4 linked regions of the Nothobranchius furzeri genome follow. The protein of the gene in region 4 purifies or fractionates together with the protein of the main gene of each other region. This does not show direct contact. Links are inferred from orthologs where the notes say so. Each region holds a gene or a part of one and is shown on either strand. Other genes may lie near its edges.

Region 1 (4,816 bases), on a different chromosome or scaffold from region 4:
TCAAGTAAGCTTAAGGCTTTGATATTTAATTATAAAGTCAGTCTAACTGGAAACTGAGAAAAGGTTTGTCTTTTTACTAAATACCCATCTATTCATCATGAATGACCTACTGTGCTCTCTTCAGCTTTATGTTTTAGGAGAATCATTTGTGTTTTTTTTTTACTGGTTGCTGGTCATGCAAGTGAAAACTGAACCTGCTTTAACAAATTGCACACATTTCCTAAATAGAAAGGCACATTTATATTGTAAAAACTTCTATTTTGATTCAGTTGTAGTAAAACCAACTATATTTGTGAGATTAATCCTTGTTGGATCAACCATTTCCACTTCAGTTTCTGAGAATTTATTGTAAAAGACGAAATGATACAGAATTTGATGAAAGAGTGAGAAAAACAATGTTATTCTTTTCTTATTTGTCCTTCTCCTTTTGCTCCTTTTCCTTTTTGTCTTTTTCAGCCTTGGCCTCTTCAGCCTCGTGCTTCTTGATGAGCTCCTCCACCTCCTTCTGTTTCAACACCTTGATCTTGGTTTTTCCATCTTCACGTGTCAAGGTGGCGATCTCAACTGAAACGATCAGAACAGAATCATGCTACTGTTGCAACAGGAGGATCTTTTCAACAGTCAAGTGGACCTTTAAGTTTTAACTTGCTTAACTTACTGCTGCACCATCCGAGAGTGCCACAGAACCTCACCTTTCTCTGCTGACAGCTTGCTGACATCCATGGTTTTGTTGAGGACTTTGATGGCCAACGCCAAAGCAGAAGACAGGGTCATCTCCCCTTCTTTGTAGTCCTGCTTCAACATGGAAACTGCAGCCTGACACCAAAAAGTCAAACAAATCAAACCAAATGATCCAAACTACCATTTTGACTTTACAGCTACTCTGACTTACAGCACTGTTGTTCCCAATACAGGTTGCCTTCCAACCTCCGTAGTTGCCACTGGGGTCACTTTGGTACAGCTGGAAGCCGTAGTGCTTGTCCCACCCCATGTAGAGGAGAGAAACACCAAACGGCCTCTTGCCTGTTCAGACAAACAGCTTATACACACATTCTTGTTTGTAAAGTAATATATACAAGAGCAGAGTGACATGTTCATATGAAAGGAAGCATGTTGATAAACAGTATGAAGCAGAGTAAGGAGGAGTATCTTGCCTCCAAACTGTGTGTAGGCTTGCTTTATGTCACACAGAGCTGTGACCAGCTGCTCACACGGTATGGGCTCTTGGTACTGTAGTAAATACCTGAAAAGGAAAAGATCTCAGTCATGATGACGAACACTTTTCAGATCTGTTCATTTTTTTCCATTTGTGACAGAGGATTCTGTTAACACTCACCTCTGTGCAATTAGCCGCAGCTCATTTGTCAATACATTGGCATCAGATGTGATTCCAGCAACACTACAAGCCATGTCTCTGGAAAGCAGATCAACAAATCAGCCTTAAAAACAAGTAAAAACATAAAAAAAAAAATACTTTCAAAATAACATAAGCTGGTTTAAGCTTCTCACTCATTGAGCTTGTAGATCTTCTCAGAGAAGAAAACTTCATCTAGCAGTTTGTGGATGTTGCGTCTTTCTGCGGCTAACAGCACCCCATCGTTTGCTAGAATCCCCAGACAGGTTCCAGCGTGACCAATTGCTTCCATTGCATACTCCACCTGATAAAGACGTCCTGGAAATTACAGAAAATATTTTGTTTAACATTTGTTTTGTTAAAAAAAGAAAACAATCTAAATGAGCAAGAGTACTTGCATGGGTTTATTAAAACTACTTTTGCTTCCCTATTGAGCCCAAGAACAGATCTAAAGTTAACTTATTTCACTTCAGTTCAGTTTCACTCATGATGGGCCTTTTCCCTAATTTCATCCCCATCCTATCCAGACACCATACGCCTTTTACTTCCTTTTTATTTTTATCTTTACTGTGTTTTCCCCTCACCACTCCTAGATTGCCTGAGTGGGTGTAACAATTAAAACAATGAAAACATGGTTTACCAGTGAAATATTCGTGCAAATTGGGATTTGAAGGTTTTGCTACAAAATAGTGTAGTTGACATCATGTTTATATTTAAATAAACATGCTCTGCATGCCAAAAAATAGTGAAGTAATCATTTTCTCAGCTATCAGAAATGTGAATGGTCTTTCCGTTTTACAATATAAAAACAACTACTTTTGCATTGCGAAGACTAAAACGTGTCTTAAGAATTACCTTCAGGTGAAAATATGGTTGTCCGAGAGTCATACCTGCGAGACTACGTACAAATAAAATAGATAAAACGACATGAAGCAATCACATAAAAACTGATAAATACATAAAAATCATAGGGCGTATGAAGCACATAATTACCATTTTCTCAGGTCACCTGAGATTTCCTAAATAGAAGCAACACAAGTGTTAGCAGGAGCAATCAAATAGCCAAACATTACAGATATACACGAACAGAGCTATATTGTGACCATTTGAACATTTAGATAAAAATTTCATGAAAGTTAGAGGACCGAAACTTTGATAGCAACGAGGATCAAACACTGATAGCAAGCTGCTGTAGCGCGTTGCTACAGCAGAATGAATCTGCAATATCGTAGCATGCTAACACGTTAGCTTACAGCCTCTCTGTTTCTCATGTCTCTAATTGGGAGTGCGACAAACTGAGACAATATAATAAACAACTTATAATTACACTGAAAAAAAGCAAAATAATGCGTCAAACATTTAAGCATCGATATTCTGTTACCTTAAACCAAAGAGTCTGAAACGGCGTACTTTTGCTTGAGCTACAGGGTTTGCTCTGCTAACACTTTCAGTTTGATATTTCCTCGCTCCTCCACCGGCGTCCGGCAGTGAAGTAGCCGCTCAGCAGCGCCGCCTGTTGGTAGGAGGACTGATAAATCTGAGATTCACCTTTACTGAAAACAAAAACATGGCTGCGCAGTGACGCAGTGCTTACAGTTGTTGCCTTGTAGCAAGAAGGTCCTAAGTTCGCTTCCCGGCCATTTCTGCATGGAGTTTGCATGTTCTCACTGTGCATGCGTGGGTTCTCTCCGGGCACTCCGGCTTCCTTCCACAGTCCAAAAACATGACTGTTAGGTTGATTGGTCTGTCCAAATTGCCCTTAGGTGTGAGTGTGTGTGTGTGCATGATTATTTGTCCTGTGTCTCTGTGTTGCCCTGCGATGGACTGGGTGTACCCCGCCTGATTGCCCGTTGACACACTGGAGATAGGCACCGGCCCCCCGCGACCCTGCTGGACAAAGCGGGCTCAGAAAATGGATGGATGGATGAAAAAAAAAACGTAAATAACATGTTAGCTGAATTTCCAAGACACTTCCTAATTATATGACAAACGCCATACCCTCATTGAAAGCTGTACTCTACTTGTTTTTTGTCTCTCTCTCTCTCTCTCTCTCTCTCTCTCTCTCTCTCTCTCTCTCTCTCTCTCTCTCTCTCTCCCTTTTTTTCTTTCTTTTTTTGGTTTACTTAATTTGTATTTACTAATGTCATAGTATATTAACTGCTCATTTTAAATTTAGTTTTTGGATTTAACATTTTCAAAATGCCATGTTTTTTGTAAATTTACTAAATAAAGTTCTTGCAGTGTGAAACAATAGATATACTGTCAGATAGAACATATGTGAGCTATAATGAGTGACCTGGTAAAGGGAACAATTCGAAAAATAGACAAAACAGTTTATTTTAAAGTTGTAAAGCGTTTACTGAAACCTTAAAATTAAATGGTAGAAATTTACATTTTTAACATTAAAACAATGAGAGCAGCATTTAAAAATCGCTTAAATACATTTCTCGTGTTTCGTATTGAAGATTGAAAACAATTACACCCAGTTGGTGGCGCTAATGCAACTATCCGTTTGACAACCGCCAGAAATGAGTAGAAGAAGAACTGTCGCGCGTGATTGGTTGATTAAGCAGCATGGCGTTTGAATGAGAGCAGGAAGTGTAAAGAGGTTATCGTCGTCTGGTGAAACTTCACTAGTCAATCAGTAGTACAGAGTTCCAGACGCCTGTGACCGCGGAGAGTTGACCATACTTATAATCAGGATATGTCTTAGAGATAAAACAAAATTTATCCGGAGAGGTAAGGGCTTATTAATGTTGTTTGATTAAGTAATGCTAATTTTGAGCTAGCTCAGTGTAAGCGAGTACAAGTTAGCCTGGCGTCAGCTGGTGGTAAAATGACACAATTTATTAAAAACGTCGCTGTTTTGCTACCGGTAGGACCCCGCTTTTTAAAAATCCATTTTAGAGTAAAATTGAATGGTTTCCGTTACCGGCTTGGGAGCGTCGTGTTGCCTGGAGTCATTTCTGACATTGTTATCAAGTTTCTGCGTAGAAATGCGACATCAGTGAAACAACTTTTTCTAAAAACATTGTTTTGATTAAAACAAATTAAGATCCGTAATGCTACCTTTAGCCGATCATGACCTTTGAACCACGTTTCACGGGCAACCAGAGATGGTGAAACATTGAAGAAACACTTCCACCAGTGTTGTCACTGACAGATCAAACACCGTCACTCAGATTTAAATAACATGTGCATTTATGATCATAAACTAATATTATTCAGGTTTATCAGTTTTCCTAATACCACACTCCTTCCTGTCGAACCCCTTTCACTGGCTGTTCTGTTTTTTCTCTTCTGCTGGTGACAAAGTTCTCAGTTCTGATTTAACTCGCAGTAAGTGCTTTATAAATAATGTTTGACTGATTATTTACTCTTTTGTTTTATGCTGTCAGGAGGAAAGAGTCTGATGAAGGGTCACCAACAGCTGGCAGGATGCAGCAGAAAAGGAATATCCAG
Region 2 (4,538 bases), on a different chromosome or scaffold from region 4:
GCCAGCCCGTGATCCTTATGGGATTGTAATGGTTCCCTGTGTAGAATTAAACAGGCTAGGCTCTAGCAGGCTAGCCACTGAGCACTAACTTTAGGTGAGAAACTGGCGACATATTTAACGAACAAACCTTCAGGCGACCAGTAGAGACGAACGTAGCCGAAGGGTTTTTCAGCTGCAGCCTTTCCTTTAATAAGTTGCTTCCATACGCGAAGTACAGGAAACGGCCGACGCTAGCCACAGACATTGTGATAAAAATACTCCTGCTCGAAAAGAACCTGGTGCCTTCGACATGTGACGAATATGTTAAAAGATGATCGTTTAATATAAAATAACTAGCTTTGGGCAATGATTTACGTCATTCCACGAACCTCTACGTTAGCCCGGCAAGCCATCCTATAGGCTACCATCTACCAGGTCACTTTTCCTACACCGCCATCTAGCGGTGACTTTGGTCCCCGGTGTAATGTAAAACAACGTTCCCCCACCTACATGTGCAGTTTTACCAATTATCACAACTGATGTGAGAAACTGCACCTAAAAGTTGACTAAATAAACAGTTTTGCTTTATTTTGTCAACTGTAGTGGGATAAAGGTCTGATGACTAAATAATAATTTCATAAAATACATTTTTATTTTAGAGCCTGGCCTGCCAGACTCATCTGTGTAACTTTATACACAAGGAAGCGTGGGGCTGGCTAGTACACCAGTAGCATTGGGATCTGATTGGGACAACACAGTAGTTAATGATGCTAGTTTATGTGCTGACACTTTATTCAGTATTAAAAACCAACACAAAGAAGTCAGAGTAATTTGTCCTCTTAACCAGAAGTTTAATGTACAAAAAAAAAAGTCCAACTAAAAAGCACACAGAAATTCACAAAACGTTTCTGCTTTAATGAAGCAAAGGAAAAAAAAAATCCTGTACAAACAGTGAAGTGTTAGGAATCAACAGAACAGCCTTGCGATCATCTCCTTGGTCCACCTCGTCCCCGTCCCCTTCCTCTCCCACGTCCCCGTCCCCTGCCTCGTCCCCGTCCAGCCACTGAGGAGACAGATGAGCAGCATCAGCACAAGTGTCACAAACACCATATTGCTCATTTAGCATCTGGTCCTTTAAACCACTCCTTAAATTATGTCGTACAGTTAATGTTACAATTTAGTTCTTTTAATATAAACCCATGCAGAAACCTGTGCAAACACACCAGTTACATCACTGTGAAAACCTTTTTGTTCACGCAAAGGAGAATTCAGATTCACTTTCTAAAAAAAACACCTTAAGATAAAATTCAACTCAACATATCTTATGCATTTTCACCTTTCTCACCTGCTTCTCTCTTCTTGGACTTGATCTTTGGCTCGATGTCAACCAGCAAGGTGTCCAGAGGGAGGCTGTCTGGGAGGATGAAGTAGCGAATATTGTTGCCGCGGATACTCAGCGACTCCAGCTGAGTGGGCTCCCTGTTTTTTAGGGTCATTTTTACCGCCTTCAGGTGAGTGTTCATGCTCACATCAACACCTGAAAAACAGAGAGGAGGGATGAAACACCAGCCATAAGTACATCTGGCACTTGAGTTTAGGATTAATTTTACAGATTAGAAAATATTTTAATTTGCAGGTTGTGTGTGTGCTTGTCTAGGGTTTGTTAAACATAAAAAAATCCCATCAAATAGGATTAAATAATACAAAAACATACATTGTGCAGATTTATCTGTACTAAAGTCTGACTATGAGGATGAAAGCACAGCTGTGGGTATTAATCTACTTAATGCATACAAATATATGTCATTAGTATTGAAATTAAAGAGCTTCAGCTGACTCCTGGCTTATCTGACCACCTTTATGAGCTCACCTGTGATGGTGCCGTGAACCTGGGTGCCATTTTTCAGCTCAATGGTTACGGTTTCATGGCTGAGCTTCATCAAAAACCTGTGGGCATCATTGCACACGATGACTGAGTGAAAACATCACAACGTAATTGGGACATTTCTCGCAGAGGCTAGATAGTAGCTTAGCTTTAGCTATCTAGTTAGCCACCGATGGCTATTAGGTGACTTTTAAAGCGTTTGAAACAATAAAAACACTGATTATCCACCAGTTTAACAGCTAAACTAAATATTTACAAAATGAACTCTAACAAATTATGTTAAAACCCCATTTTGAGCCGCTTTAGTTGATTGACAAGCTAATGCTACAACGGTTGAATGAGTTAACGTCTAGCCTAATATTTTTACTTATTGAAATAGAAATGTACTTAAAGTAGACGTTCATCTATGTTGATAATTAAAACTGTGCGTAGGAACGTGTTTTAAACCCTCAGCGGTCGCCGTAACGTCGCTCAGGATCCATTACATTTTTCCACTTCCCGCCTCATCACCGTTTAATCAAATCCCAATCCATCCGGCCACATCACTTTCATTTGATCAGTTTACGTTAATTCTCCGGTTAATCCGGGACCTCCCGCTGCCGCCTACCTGACTAGTTTCATGATGATGGAAAACAGTAGAGAAAAATCCTCCACCGAAGACAAAAATTACAGCGATCGAGTGAAAACACAGGCCGCTGTTGTATTCGAAACGTTCAGGGATGTGACGTCACTAAAAGGCGACAACAAAGACGAGGGGGTGTAATTACCGCCATCTACTGGTGGAATTGTGATCCGTTCTAACACTTTTGTTTTATTTTTCTGTGCAACATGTTTTACAGTAGTGTTAAAATCCACAATCTTTATTTTACTACTAATTTATTGGAATCTGGCAGTTAAAAGGTCAAATATCCAAAACAAAGATCCCTAAATGATCAATATTTAGGAAGATCACTACCGTTACCTACTGCTGGATTCGTGATCTGCAGAATTTGCAACCAAAAGGTCAAAACGGTGTTTATGTGCAACATGTGTTAAAGTCGTAGTAAAATTTACATTTTTACTGATTTATCAAAATCTGGAAGATGAAAAAAGGTAAAATATCCACAACAATTAACCCTAACTGATCAAGACCTAATTCATTCAACAGATCAGGAGACAACTTCAGAGAACTTGTCGCAGTTGAATAAAACCACAAAGCAGCACTTTCAGCTCATTTTATTAAGAGTAAACTCTGCACCGATACTTAAGAGATTTGGCCACACATCAAATCTGTCTTCTTGAGACCTGCTGGGAATGTATCAAGTATAATCAATGAGAGTGCTTTTTTTTATTCCAAAGATGTAGGCTGAGACCAATAAATCATAAAGTGTGAAGCACAAAAAGAAAAACGGCACAAGGCCATTAAACTCAGCATTATTCCACTTCTAATAATAATAAAAATAAATAAAACCGTCATCCTCTCTGTGTGTTGCCTGCACATGATTGACGCAACACGTTATTAATATTCTGGAGCAGAAAAAGTCTCGACTCAGTGCATCTGCTGTTGAACTCTAGAAAAGAAAATCTAATTATGCAGTGGTTTAAAACAGAAGTCATGAAATATTACAGCAGGTGAGCACGTGTTCCTGGAAATCTTTCATGTGGAAACAGATAATGTCCTTTTGGGGTTTCTCTCCACCTTAACCATAGCAACTGAGTAATCGATCTTCAGATCAGCAGTCGTGTTTTATTCTCCTGTAAACGTTACAGCGGGGCTCAAACAGGAAGTCACACGTCCAACAAAATAAAATCAAAGGTCAGCTGGACGTGAACATTCAGATAAAGGGGTTAAACGTCGGGCCGCTGCGCCATGAAATGTTTTAGGCTTTTAAACTTTGATTTAGCGTGTTTAAAAAACAATGTTAACAAATAGAAACTAAAGAAGGCACACACACCAAAAGAAGATCCTCACTATAATAAGGAAGTGATGATAAATGATTTATTTCTAAAGCAGCTAATAAATACGAGTCAAACGATGCTGTAGTGTGAACGCCGATATGCTAAAAGCGTATAAACCTAAAGTGACTGAAAATGAAGGTAAACAGCTCAGAGATGATAAAATGAATTTCGTCGACTTGTGGGCTGCACGGTGGCGCAGCTGTTAGCACTGTTGCCTCGCAGCAAGAAGGTTGCAGGTTCGAAACTCGGCTGCGGCCTTTCTGCGTGGAGTTGCGTGTTCTCCCCGCGCACGCGTGGGTTTCCCCCACAGATCACAACACGCCCTACAAGTTAAATAAATCGTACGTCGCTTTGGATAAAAGCGTCTGCCAAATAAATAAACATAAACTTTTTAAACTTAGTTGACGACTTAAATTGCGACTTTTTTTAGGGGGGAAATCTTGGATTTTGGAGTTTTTTTGCTTAAAAAAACCTATTTGAACGATCGATGGTGGCCTCTGGTAGTCAGGGAACACTTTTAGAAAAACTTGTCTCACGAGCACCGACTCTGATGGAGGGCCCTCCCACCTGCAGCTGGCTGTAAACGTCTGGAGGTTTTAGTGATCAGTAGTGTGTTGGCACCAACGGAACAGGCACGGTGTGCACGAGTTAAGAATAAACTAGTCAGGGGTGGGCCAATGATTGTACGGCGCTAAATGGGCTCTGAGGTTCCAGAGTTTGGCTCGGGTTTGGGTCG
Region 3 (4,970 bases), on a different chromosome or scaffold from region 4:
ACAAATATTATTTTACCTCTTTAGCATCGTTTGTGTTCTCAAAGTAAACAAAGGCGAAGCCCCTGGAGCGTCTTGACTGCTGGTCGTACACGATGCTAACATCTGCCAGGGGTCCATATTTAGAGAAGACGTCCCTTAGGTCCCTCTCTGTGGTGTACAGGCTCAAGCCAAACACTCCCAGGCAACCGTTTGGATCTGGATTAGCCTGTTGCAATATTAAGATTAGGTCAATAATAGGTTTATCTGCTTATAAATTTCATGCTGAGCAGATTCAAAGAAATGTATCTAAACAATGAGGACATACACGGTTGCCAATGTGCCTGCGGCGATTGGACATAGGGGAGTGACTATGGCTTCTGCGCCGACGTTCCCCGCTGTGGGACCGACTGCGAGATCTGCGGTGATAGGACTTGGAGCGGGACCGAGAGCGGCTGTAATGTCTGCGGGAGCCACGGTGGGAATGTGATCTGCAGAGACAGAGACAATGTTTCCACCCTCACACGAGTTCAAGGCCGTTTCAGTCCAGTCCACCTGAGCGCTGCTTCGTAACTCACCCAGACCTGGACCTGGAGCGAGACCAGGATTTAGAGCGGGAGCGACTAGCCGACTTCCCAGAACCATGTGCGCTCACGCTCCTGGAAGCAGAGCGAGACTTCTGAACACACACACACACACACACACACACACACACACACACACACACACACACACACACACACACACACACACACACACACAGTTATCATCACAGATGTGATATTGAACATTTTTTTAAAAAGTCTCTAAAGAGATAGGAATTAAATATATCCTGTTAATTTGTAGAAAAAATTGATTTGTAAATATAAATGTTTAATGTTACTTTGTACAACCAAGGTTATAATAGCAACAATGATTACATTAACTTAATTACAATTCAAATAAATTTTTCAATTGTAAAATTTAATTTGTGTTGTATTCAACAAAATAAAACATGCACGCATTTGACAAGTAGACCAGAAAATTACTTAGCGCAGTGACCTTATCCAGATTACTTCCTTAACTTCATTTCTGTAACTTCATTACTTCACATTATTCTTCTTTCTTCAATTGTCTTAAATCTTCTGACTTCTCCCTTCACACACACTGCTCATAGTTCTTCCCTCCTCATGTTTTAGCATGCATTCAACAATTCAGCTTCACACATCTCAGCTTCATATTACTGAAAATAAAGTGGACATGAGACTTCTTCTGCATTTTCTTCGTCCAACCTTAACCTTAATGAAAAAGAAGATGAAGAATATATGACTACAGTTAACAGGGCACGCTCATTCAACTTTGTCATGTGTTATCAGTCATGTGTTATCAGGATCTTTTAGCACAAATAGAAAGATTACAAATGTTCAGTTTTTTTTTTTTTTTTAAGATAATTCACTTTCAGTGGTTCTACGCCCTACTGGCACATTTTGTTTAACAATTTACAACGCGTTTTTTAAAACGAGCAAGTGAAGGAGGGTGCAGGGATCTTTAAAAAATCACTGCTCAACCTGAAAAGTGAGAATTATAAACACAATTAGTTTATCAACCTGAACGTAACAAAAGCATGAGACGTGTCGCACCAGAAAAAAACACAACAATGGAGTTTTATTCATCCATAAAAAAATTATAAAAATGAATGGTTCACCGTCATTTCAAACCACTGAATGTGAATAAGCTACATTTCAGAATAAACCCACTTATTTGTCCTTTACCCTTTACAAATAATAACTGCAAGGTCAGACAAAAATGACCACAAGATGCAAACACCTCTCGTTTGTACTTTTTTCCCATCATCAGCACTCGAAAGATCTTCAGTGTGATTTTAAGAAAAAAGTTTAAAACAAACGAGGCACAAGTTATTCTTATTCCCCAAATAATATATCAAATATCCAATCAATCACAAGATGTTTGTGCAAGTCACTAAATGAGAAGTAGACAAATAAATTTGCATCATCAGAACATTTAGAAGTTACCAAATTTCAGCTTCTGATTTAAAAAATAACCATTACAGAGATTTTCAACCCCGACTATTTCTGGGTGTAAACATACAATCCTTATTTTAGCTAATTAATTTATAGAAATAGATATTTGAAGATTATCTCAATAATCTCCTTAAATATTACAATTTCCCAATAGGTTCTGAAAAACAATTAGCATTTAAAACAGCCTCTAGTCTGATCGGATCGAGTCAGTGTAGTGCCACCTTCGTCTTTGACAGGTAAATGAAAGAGGAAACATCTTGAGGCCTTTTGAGTTTCTATTTTTACATTTCTGCGCTGATAAATGCAATAACACGTTGACCGTTTCACCAAATGCAAATCACCCAAACACGAAGTTGCAGCCAAACACACAGTTAACATGAATAAAGCACTACAAATGATTAAATTATAGCCTTTCATCGATAATTTTTATGGCTTAAAAAGCCCTAGCGTCTACTTCCTTCTAGCATGTTCCATTAGCATAATTAGCATTTCAGCTAAAAATGTGTTCAAGTTGCAACAGCTACCTCTAAAAATGCTTGAATGGTTTAAAAATTAATGTATTTCTTTGCGGGTTGTGGTAGACCTTTGCCAATATCGCAACAAAAGTAATCAGAAGTTGAGGCCTAGCTACACGTTAGCCTTAGCCAGCTAGCTTAATTCACAGAAGCTAAATAATATAATTTTCATCCTACATGCTTTCTCGTAGGGAAAAAACGACCGATTTAACACTGTTATGCTTCGTGGAGTAAATAAACATGATACATTTGACCAAAAACACGAGTTAGCAAACAGAAAGAGCATTAGCCGAAAAACACAACGCGGTGCTCGGAAGAGAATCACTTTTTAATCATGAACGAATTGAAAATAATAAAAAAAAGCTAAATAAAAAAAAAGTTCACACATACCTGCTCTTTGTCACTCATTTTATTGATAGTGATTATTCTAGATGGAGGGTTACTGTTGTGTTCCATTGAGCTAGAAAAGACTGACAAACAGCCTGGAAATCAAAATGACGTCACTCAAACGCGCTCAGCCCTTCAGCGGAAACCAGTTTTCTTTTTCAAAAGTAGCGCAGAGCTACAAAATAAAACTATGTCAATGGAAAAACATCTGTAGAATTATATATATATATTTGCATTAGAGGGCTGGATTCAATTAGAAGAAAATAATCAAACAACAACACTACTACTACTACTACTAATAATAATAATAATAATAATGGGAAATACTCACAGTAAGTAATTTACCTAATACAATTAAATATGAGAATTCATCATTAAATCTAATGCTCCTCCTTTGATGTCCTCCAGTTTATGTAAAAATAAGTAAATTTAATGTGTATCAAAGCTACATGAGAAAGGCACAAATAACACACCATTAAGTCACAAAAAATGCATTTTTGTAAGAAATGAATAATTGATAGAAGCCTAATCAAACCTGTCTAAATATACATTTTGTTCACATGCATGTGTGATGATTTGGCATGTCAACGGGAAAGTACAAGATTTTCTTAAGATCTTGTGCGAAAAATAATACAGCATAATAGAATTTAATTGATTTGTTCATTTATTGCTGAAAAACACAGATGATTCATATGTAAAAGTGACCACAACTTTTTTCTGTTGCATTTTATTTATTAGGAATCAAAAAGCAAAAGCAAAAAGAGCAGACGATTGTACAAAATTATTATCTACAAAGCTTTGTCACAGGGGAGGCTGAATATTCATAGAATTCATATTTTAGTTGATATATCCAATAGTTTGATGGCAATCAATGGATTTGTACCCAAAGATGAGTGGACACAATCTAAAAGCCGACACAAACTAAAAACACAAACACACACAAAAAAAAATTCTGCCTATTAAAAATGAATTAGCCTGAATGATAATAAACTATTTTCCACATTCGGCAGGACTTTAGAGCAGAGATTTCCACAGAGATTTAGTTACTCATTAGGACCTGGAGAGAAAATCAAATAAAAAAATCTATAAGAGATCAGCGATTATGAGTATAATTAAATAATAAAGTTGTTTTGTGTCATTATACCTACCACAGTCATACAGGGTGTTAATTTTATGAAGATCCAGAGCACTTGGTCCGTCTCGCTGGCCAATTGGAATGTAAGGATCTGGTCTGGGAATGATTGTTGGTCCACCGTCTTCAGAGAAGGCGTATCTGAATCAGAGATGCATAAAATGATGCCACCGAAAAATCTCAGAAGACATATGATTATGTTGCCTGAAGCAGCTAGCCAGACCTGGCAAGCCAGACTAAATAAATGTATTATTTAGTCTGGCCACGCTCCATTGACGGCTCTCGGTTGTGGGGCGGGTTCTACCGTTGTCTTTCAAATGATCTCCGCATTCCACTGGACAATGAATGTGACATACTCTTGTTTCACTCTGTTGCATCATCCCACCCACCAGGCATATAGAGTGCCCTGATTGGCCCACAAAGCGAATAAAGCTCTGTGATTTGTTCACTAAGCAGATAGAGCACTATGATTGGCCCACCATTATGGACCAATCACAGCTCTTTATGTGTTTGAAACCCCTCTAGAGAGCTGTGATTGGCTAGCCAGAGTCCTGGTAGGAGCTGCTGAGGTTCCAATGGAGCATGCCTAGACCATTCTTTGCAAAGCAAGAATTTGGTCTAGTTCACTAGGCTATGAAGCAGCAGCTCACCGTCCATAATGCATGACAGAGCTGTAGTCGTATGGGCTGTTGAGATTGTTCGTTGCCTGTTTTCTGAAGTTATGGATATGTTCTGTTAAAACAATCAAACAAGCAAAAATATTAGTTTAATTTAGATCAAATGTACCTAAAATGAGTTCCTAAATTAGTGCAGTTGATGTATTGTTGGGAAGTTGTCCCGAATCCAAACCTGGCATGATGTTTTTCCATACAATTGTGACGTAGTGGTCTCTGTCTGAGCGGGACTGCTCGTGTACAAATCCGAGCGCGTGCATGAACT
Region 4 (4,070 bases):
TTAGATCAGGTGAGAGCCAGGCGTTTCCCTTCATCCCCTAGGTTTTGCAGCCGAGGGAGAGCAACTGCAGCGCCTTGCTCTAAAATTTGCGGCCGCCTTGATCTCACGAGGTTATCGATGCCTACGTATGCATGACGTCAGAGCAAGTTGGCGTCAAGTCAGACACAAATCTAACCGGCATGCACTGCTCGCCGATCACTGGTGATCGACTCTGCGCAGAACTGGCTCATCTCGAACACGGCCATAGTCAAGTTAACGTTCGTGGACTCACCCATCTTGGCTCGCGACGGGGAAGGCTGTTGTTGTTTTAGTGTCTAGAAAACCGCAGAAAACATCTCAACTAGTAGAAGCTAGCCATTAGCATTTGCAACTCCACCACACAGCAGAACTCCTCCAGGCTGGTTTTATGTTTGGAGATAAAACATCAACGTTCCAGAGCTAACAGTCAGTTGTAGAGTCACATTGCTGTTATCCAATCAGAGGTGATATGTTCAAATATCAGGAACTAAGAGTCCAAATCCTCCGTCTGAAACTCAACTCTGCTCTGGCTCACTTTGAGTTTCTGAAACTGGAGCTTCAGAGCTTTTTTCCTCAGAGATTAACTCGTTTATACCAGAGACAACAGCAAATGTGTTGCTTAAATGAGTGAATTTGGTCTTAAAATCATTATTTCTTAATATATTTCAGCAAATCACCCTGTATTTAATCAAAACGTGAGTTAAATTTATTTCACTTTTTTCTTTTTGTCAAACAGCCGTTCTCCTCAGCGTGAGAAGAAGAAGAAGATAAAGAAGTACTGGGATGTCCCTCCGCCTGGATTTGAACACATCACTCCCATGCAGTACAAAGCCATGCAGGGTAACAAGTTTGATACATTTATAGTTGGGATGTTATCCATCGCGGTACTGAAACCTCTATGTGATGTAGATATGATGGTAGTGTGGTAAAATGGAAGATTATAACTTTGTGTTTCGTGTTTTTCAGCGGCAGGACAAATTCCAGCCACCGCCCTCCTGCCGACCATGACCCCAGACGGCCTGGCTGTAACCCCCACCCCCGTACCTGTGGTGGGCAGCCAGATGACCCGGCAGGCCCGCCGTCTTTATGTTGGCAACATCCCCTTTGGTATCACAGAGGTGAGAAACAGAAAAGCATATTTCGGTTTGGATAATATCGTTTTAATGACCTTTACTCTTTGTGTGTGTGTGTGCGTGTGCGTGTGTGTGTGTGCGTGTGTGTGTAGGAGTCCATGATGGACTTCTTTAACGCTCAGATGCGTTTAGGTGGTCTTACTCAGGCCCCTGGAAATCCTGTCCTCGCTGTACAGATCAACCAGGACAAGAACTTTGCCTTCCTTGAGGTGAGAAACATCCCGTGATGGTCATTAATGATCCTCAGGAGCAGGGTTAGGGAACCCTGGTCCCGATCCAACACGTTTTAGAGGTTTCCCTGCTTCAACACATCTGATTTTAAACAGCAGGCTATTAACAGGCTTCTGTAGAGGCTGATGAGCTGCTAAACTGGTGAATCCTCTGTGTCGGAGCAGGGAAACCTAAAACGTGTTGGCTGGCGGCTCTCCAGGACCAGGGTTCCCTACTCCTGCTCTGAAGTATTCCTGAACTCTCGTTGGATCTTGTTTGTGTGTTTTTAAATGTTTCTGTTCAGTTTCGTTCAGTGGATGAAACGACACAGGCAATGGCCTTTGATGGCATCATCTTTCAAGGCCAAAGCCTTAAAATCCGTCGTCCGCACGACTACCAGCCACTGCCCGGCATGAGCGAGAACCCCAGTGTCTATGTGCCTGGTACACAGACAATTAATGGTTTTTATCCTTACATTTTGCTACAAGTATACATAAACATTTGATCACTCAATATCCACGTGAGCCTCTTCTCGGGTTCCTCAGACTCGTTCTTGTCCTTGCACATTTTGCAGGAGTGGTGTCCACAGTGGTCCCAGACTCGGCTCACAAGCTCTTTATTGGTGGATTGCCCAATTATCTGAACGATGACCAGGTCGGTGTTGCAGTCTAAGTGCCATCCTGGTGCTTAGCATTCATGTGTGTTTTCTTATTGGTGACATTTTGGTGTTGAAATGAACCGAATGAAATAAAAAGTTGACATTAATCTTGTTTGCTTTAGTTTCCATCTAAACTCGCGTGAACTCTCGTGTTTCAGGTGAAGGAGTTGTTGACGTCGTTTGGCCCTCTGAAGGCCTTTAACCTGGTAAAAGACAGTGCCACAGGCCTATCTAAAGGATATGCCTTCTGTGAATATGTTGATGTCAACCTGAACGATCAGGTAACGGGTCCCAGCAGGTACGTCTGTGGTGGAACCTTTCTGGAAACGGGTCACTGAGCTTTGGCTGTCTGCACAGGCTATCGCTGGACTGAACGGCATGCAGCTCGGAGACAAGAAGCTCCTGGTGCAGAGGGCTAGCGTGGGATCCAAGAACGCCACTCTGGTGAGGCTCCAGCTGCTGGGTGAATGACAGCAGAACGGTGGGAGGCTGGATGTCGGTTCTAAAACGGACCGAGACAGATTGCTGAATAGATCTGCTGCAGCTCCTCGTCTGTTCAGTTCTAACCAGGACAAATATACGTCTTTTCAGCCAAGTCGTGTACTGAATATGAAGCTGTGCGCTTGTGTTTAGGGTGGATCTATGGCGGTATGCAGAAGCCTGAACGTGAAAGTCTTTGTTGTTGTTTTTTCTCCAGACAACTATAAACCAGACCCCGGTGACGCTGCAGGTGCCGGGTTTGAACAGCTCCGTCACTCAGATGGGTGGCCTGCCCACTGAGGTGCTGTGCCTGATGAACATGGTGGCCCCCGAGGAGCTCCTGGACGATGAAGAATATGAGGAGATTGTGGAAGACGTCAGGGAGGAGTGCAGCAAGTACGGCCAAGTGAAAAGCATCGAGATCCCTCGTCCGGTGGACGGCCTGGACATACCTGGGACGGGCAAGGTAGGCAACCTTCAGATTCTGATGTAAAGCGCTTTGATGGATCAGCAAATCATAACCGTGCCTCTTGTTTTCCCTCGCTTCACAGATTTTTGTGGAGTTCACTTCAGTTTTTGATGCCCAGAAGGCCATGCAGGGGCTGACTGGAAGGAAGTTTGCCAACAGGGTGGTGGTAACGAAATACTGCGATCCAGATGCTTATCACCGCCGGGACTTCTGGTAGAGGGGGGACGATGAGAGGGAAAGGGGAGGGAGGGGGGAGGGAGGGAGTGTAGCATGTACTGCCTGTTTCCAAATAGCCCTCGGAGTGATTTTGGCTGAGCAGCATTTCAGGTAGATCTCGGACTGTTAATCGTTTGGCGAACGGCTTTGGTGATGTCCGGTTAATTAAAGGAGATCTACGTGACGTGTTGAGCATTTAGCACCAGTGTGGCAGGGAGGAGGAGAGGAATGGCGTGTGTTTATTTTAAATGTAACACCGGGCTCGGTTTGGGGCGGTAGTCGTGTAGCTGGGTGGGTTGGGATGTGTATGAAATTTGAGAAATGTGTGTAATAACGGGGCCGGGGTGGGTCGAGAATTTTTTTTTTATACTTTGTGAGACATGGATGTTGTTTTTTTGGGTGGGAACAGGGAGCCACGCTTCAAAGGTTTGTATTTAAATGGAGTCGACCTGTTTTAAGTACATTTAGAGAGGATCTGCAGCACGGAGCTACTGGAAAATTCTGATTGAGAAGAGTTGGAAACTAAAAGGAGATGGTGTGATGGGCGTTGTTGTTTGATGATCCAATGTAGATACACAGTAGCTGTAACATCCACTTTGGTTTTGTCACCATCACTAGAAAGGTGTGTGGAGACTCCTCGTGTTCTTGCATCGTGATCAGACCGCTGTCCCTCCAGCACTGTTGTTGTGCGACTAATCTGAACGTCAGCTGTTCTGATTCTGTGTAGCTTCGCCGATTCTCAGCTGCAAAGTCACCCGGTGTTTAAGCTGCAAAGTCACGAGCTACGCAAAGATTTTCAGTTGTTCCTTATTTCTCTTGGTGTAACTTTTCTCACGAGTATTTTTGAGCAGCTATAAAAAGATGAGAACTTTTAGTCCCAGCAGTT

The links. The genes of interacting proteins can lie anywhere in the genome.
Region 1: the proteins of splicing factor U2AF 65 kDa subunit (region 4) and psma4 fractionate together in Homo sapiens (co-fractionation; 3 studies listed by BioGRID, with this or other methods). This does not show direct contact. The link is inferred for Nothobranchius furzeri from reciprocal best matches to the Homo sapiens genes U2AF2 and PSMA4.
Region 2: the proteins of splicing factor U2AF 65 kDa subunit (region 4) and snrpd1 fractionate together in Homo sapiens (co-fractionation; 3 studies listed by BioGRID, with this or other methods). This does not show direct contact. The link is inferred for Nothobranchius furzeri from reciprocal best matches to the Homo sapiens genes U2AF2 and SNRPD1.
Region 3: the proteins of splicing factor U2AF 65 kDa subunit (region 4) and tra2b purify together in Homo sapiens (affinity purification with mass spectrometry; 4 studies listed by BioGRID and IntAct, counting the BioPlex papers as one, with this or other methods). This does not show direct contact. The link is inferred for Nothobranchius furzeri from reciprocal best matches to the Homo sapiens genes U2AF2 and TRA2B.

Annotation. Positions count from the first base shown.
Region 1 is NC_091749.1:46,740,435-46,745,250, reverse strand, and holds psma4 (proteasome subunit alpha type-4), read right to left. Parts: upstream 3,041-4,816; 5' UTR 2,949-3,040; intron 2,868-2,948; 5' UTR 2,736-2,867; intron 2,374-2,735; 5' UTR 2,351-2,373; coding exon 2,348-2,350; intron 2,253-2,347; coding exon 2,210-2,252; intron 1,673-2,209; coding exon 1,510-1,672; intron 1,415-1,509; coding exon 1,337-1,414; intron 1,244-1,336; coding exon 1,155-1,243; intron 1,024-1,154; coding exon 893-1,023; intron 817-892; coding exon 693-816; intron 565-692; coding exon 410-564; 3' UTR 328-409; downstream 1-327. Other genes in the region: slc25a44b (solute carrier family 25 member 44b), read left to right, coding at 4,793-4,816. UniProt on the Homo sapiens protein: Component of the 20S core proteasome complex involved in the proteolytic degradation of most intracellular proteins. This complex plays numerous essential roles within the cell by associating with different regulatory particles.
Region 2 is NC_091759.1:18,894,400-18,898,937, forward strand, and holds snrpd1 (small nuclear ribonucleoprotein Sm D1), read right to left. Parts: upstream 2,610-4,538; 5' UTR 2,486-2,609; coding exon 2,472-2,485; intron 1,927-2,471; coding exon 1,850-1,926; intron 1,517-1,849; coding exon 1,316-1,516; intron 1,043-1,315; coding exon 966-1,042; 3' UTR 741-965; downstream 1-740. Other genes in the region: gamma-glutamylcyclotransferase, read right to left, coding at 128-244. UniProt on the Homo sapiens protein: Plays a role in pre-mRNA splicing as a core component of the spliceosomal U1, U2, U4 and U5 small nuclear ribonucleoproteins (snRNPs), the building blocks of the spliceosome.
Region 3 is NC_091754.1:18,122,463-18,127,432, forward strand, and holds the start of tra2b (transformer-2 protein homolog beta), read right to left. Parts: upstream 3,041-4,970; 5' UTR 2,969-3,040; coding exon 2,903-2,968; intron 656-2,902; coding exon 555-655; intron 468-554; coding exon 305-467; intron 206-304; coding exon 17-205; intron 1-16. UniProt on the Homo sapiens protein: Sequence-specific RNA-binding protein which participates in the control of pre-mRNA splicing. Can either activate or suppress exon inclusion. Acts additively with RBMX to promote exon 7 inclusion of the survival motor neuron SMN2.
Region 4 is NC_091745.1:76,211,308-76,215,377, forward strand, and holds the end of splicing factor U2AF 65 kDa subunit, read left to right. Parts: intron 1-754; coding exon 755-858; intron 859-984; coding exon 985-1,136; intron 1,137-1,243; coding exon 1,244-1,360; intron 1,361-1,665; coding exon 1,666-1,822; intron 1,823-1,935; coding exon 1,936-2,015; intron 2,016-2,177; coding exon 2,178-2,300; intron 2,301-2,376; coding exon 2,377-2,463; intron 2,464-2,716; coding exon 2,717-2,965; intron 2,966-3,050; coding exon 3,051-3,185; 3' UTR 3,186-3,235; downstream 3,236-4,070. UniProt on the Homo sapiens protein: Plays a role in pre-mRNA splicing and 3'-end processing. By recruiting PRPF19 and the PRP19C/Prp19 complex/NTC/Nineteen complex to the RNA polymerase II C-terminal domain (CTD), and thereby pre-mRNA, may couple transcription to splicing.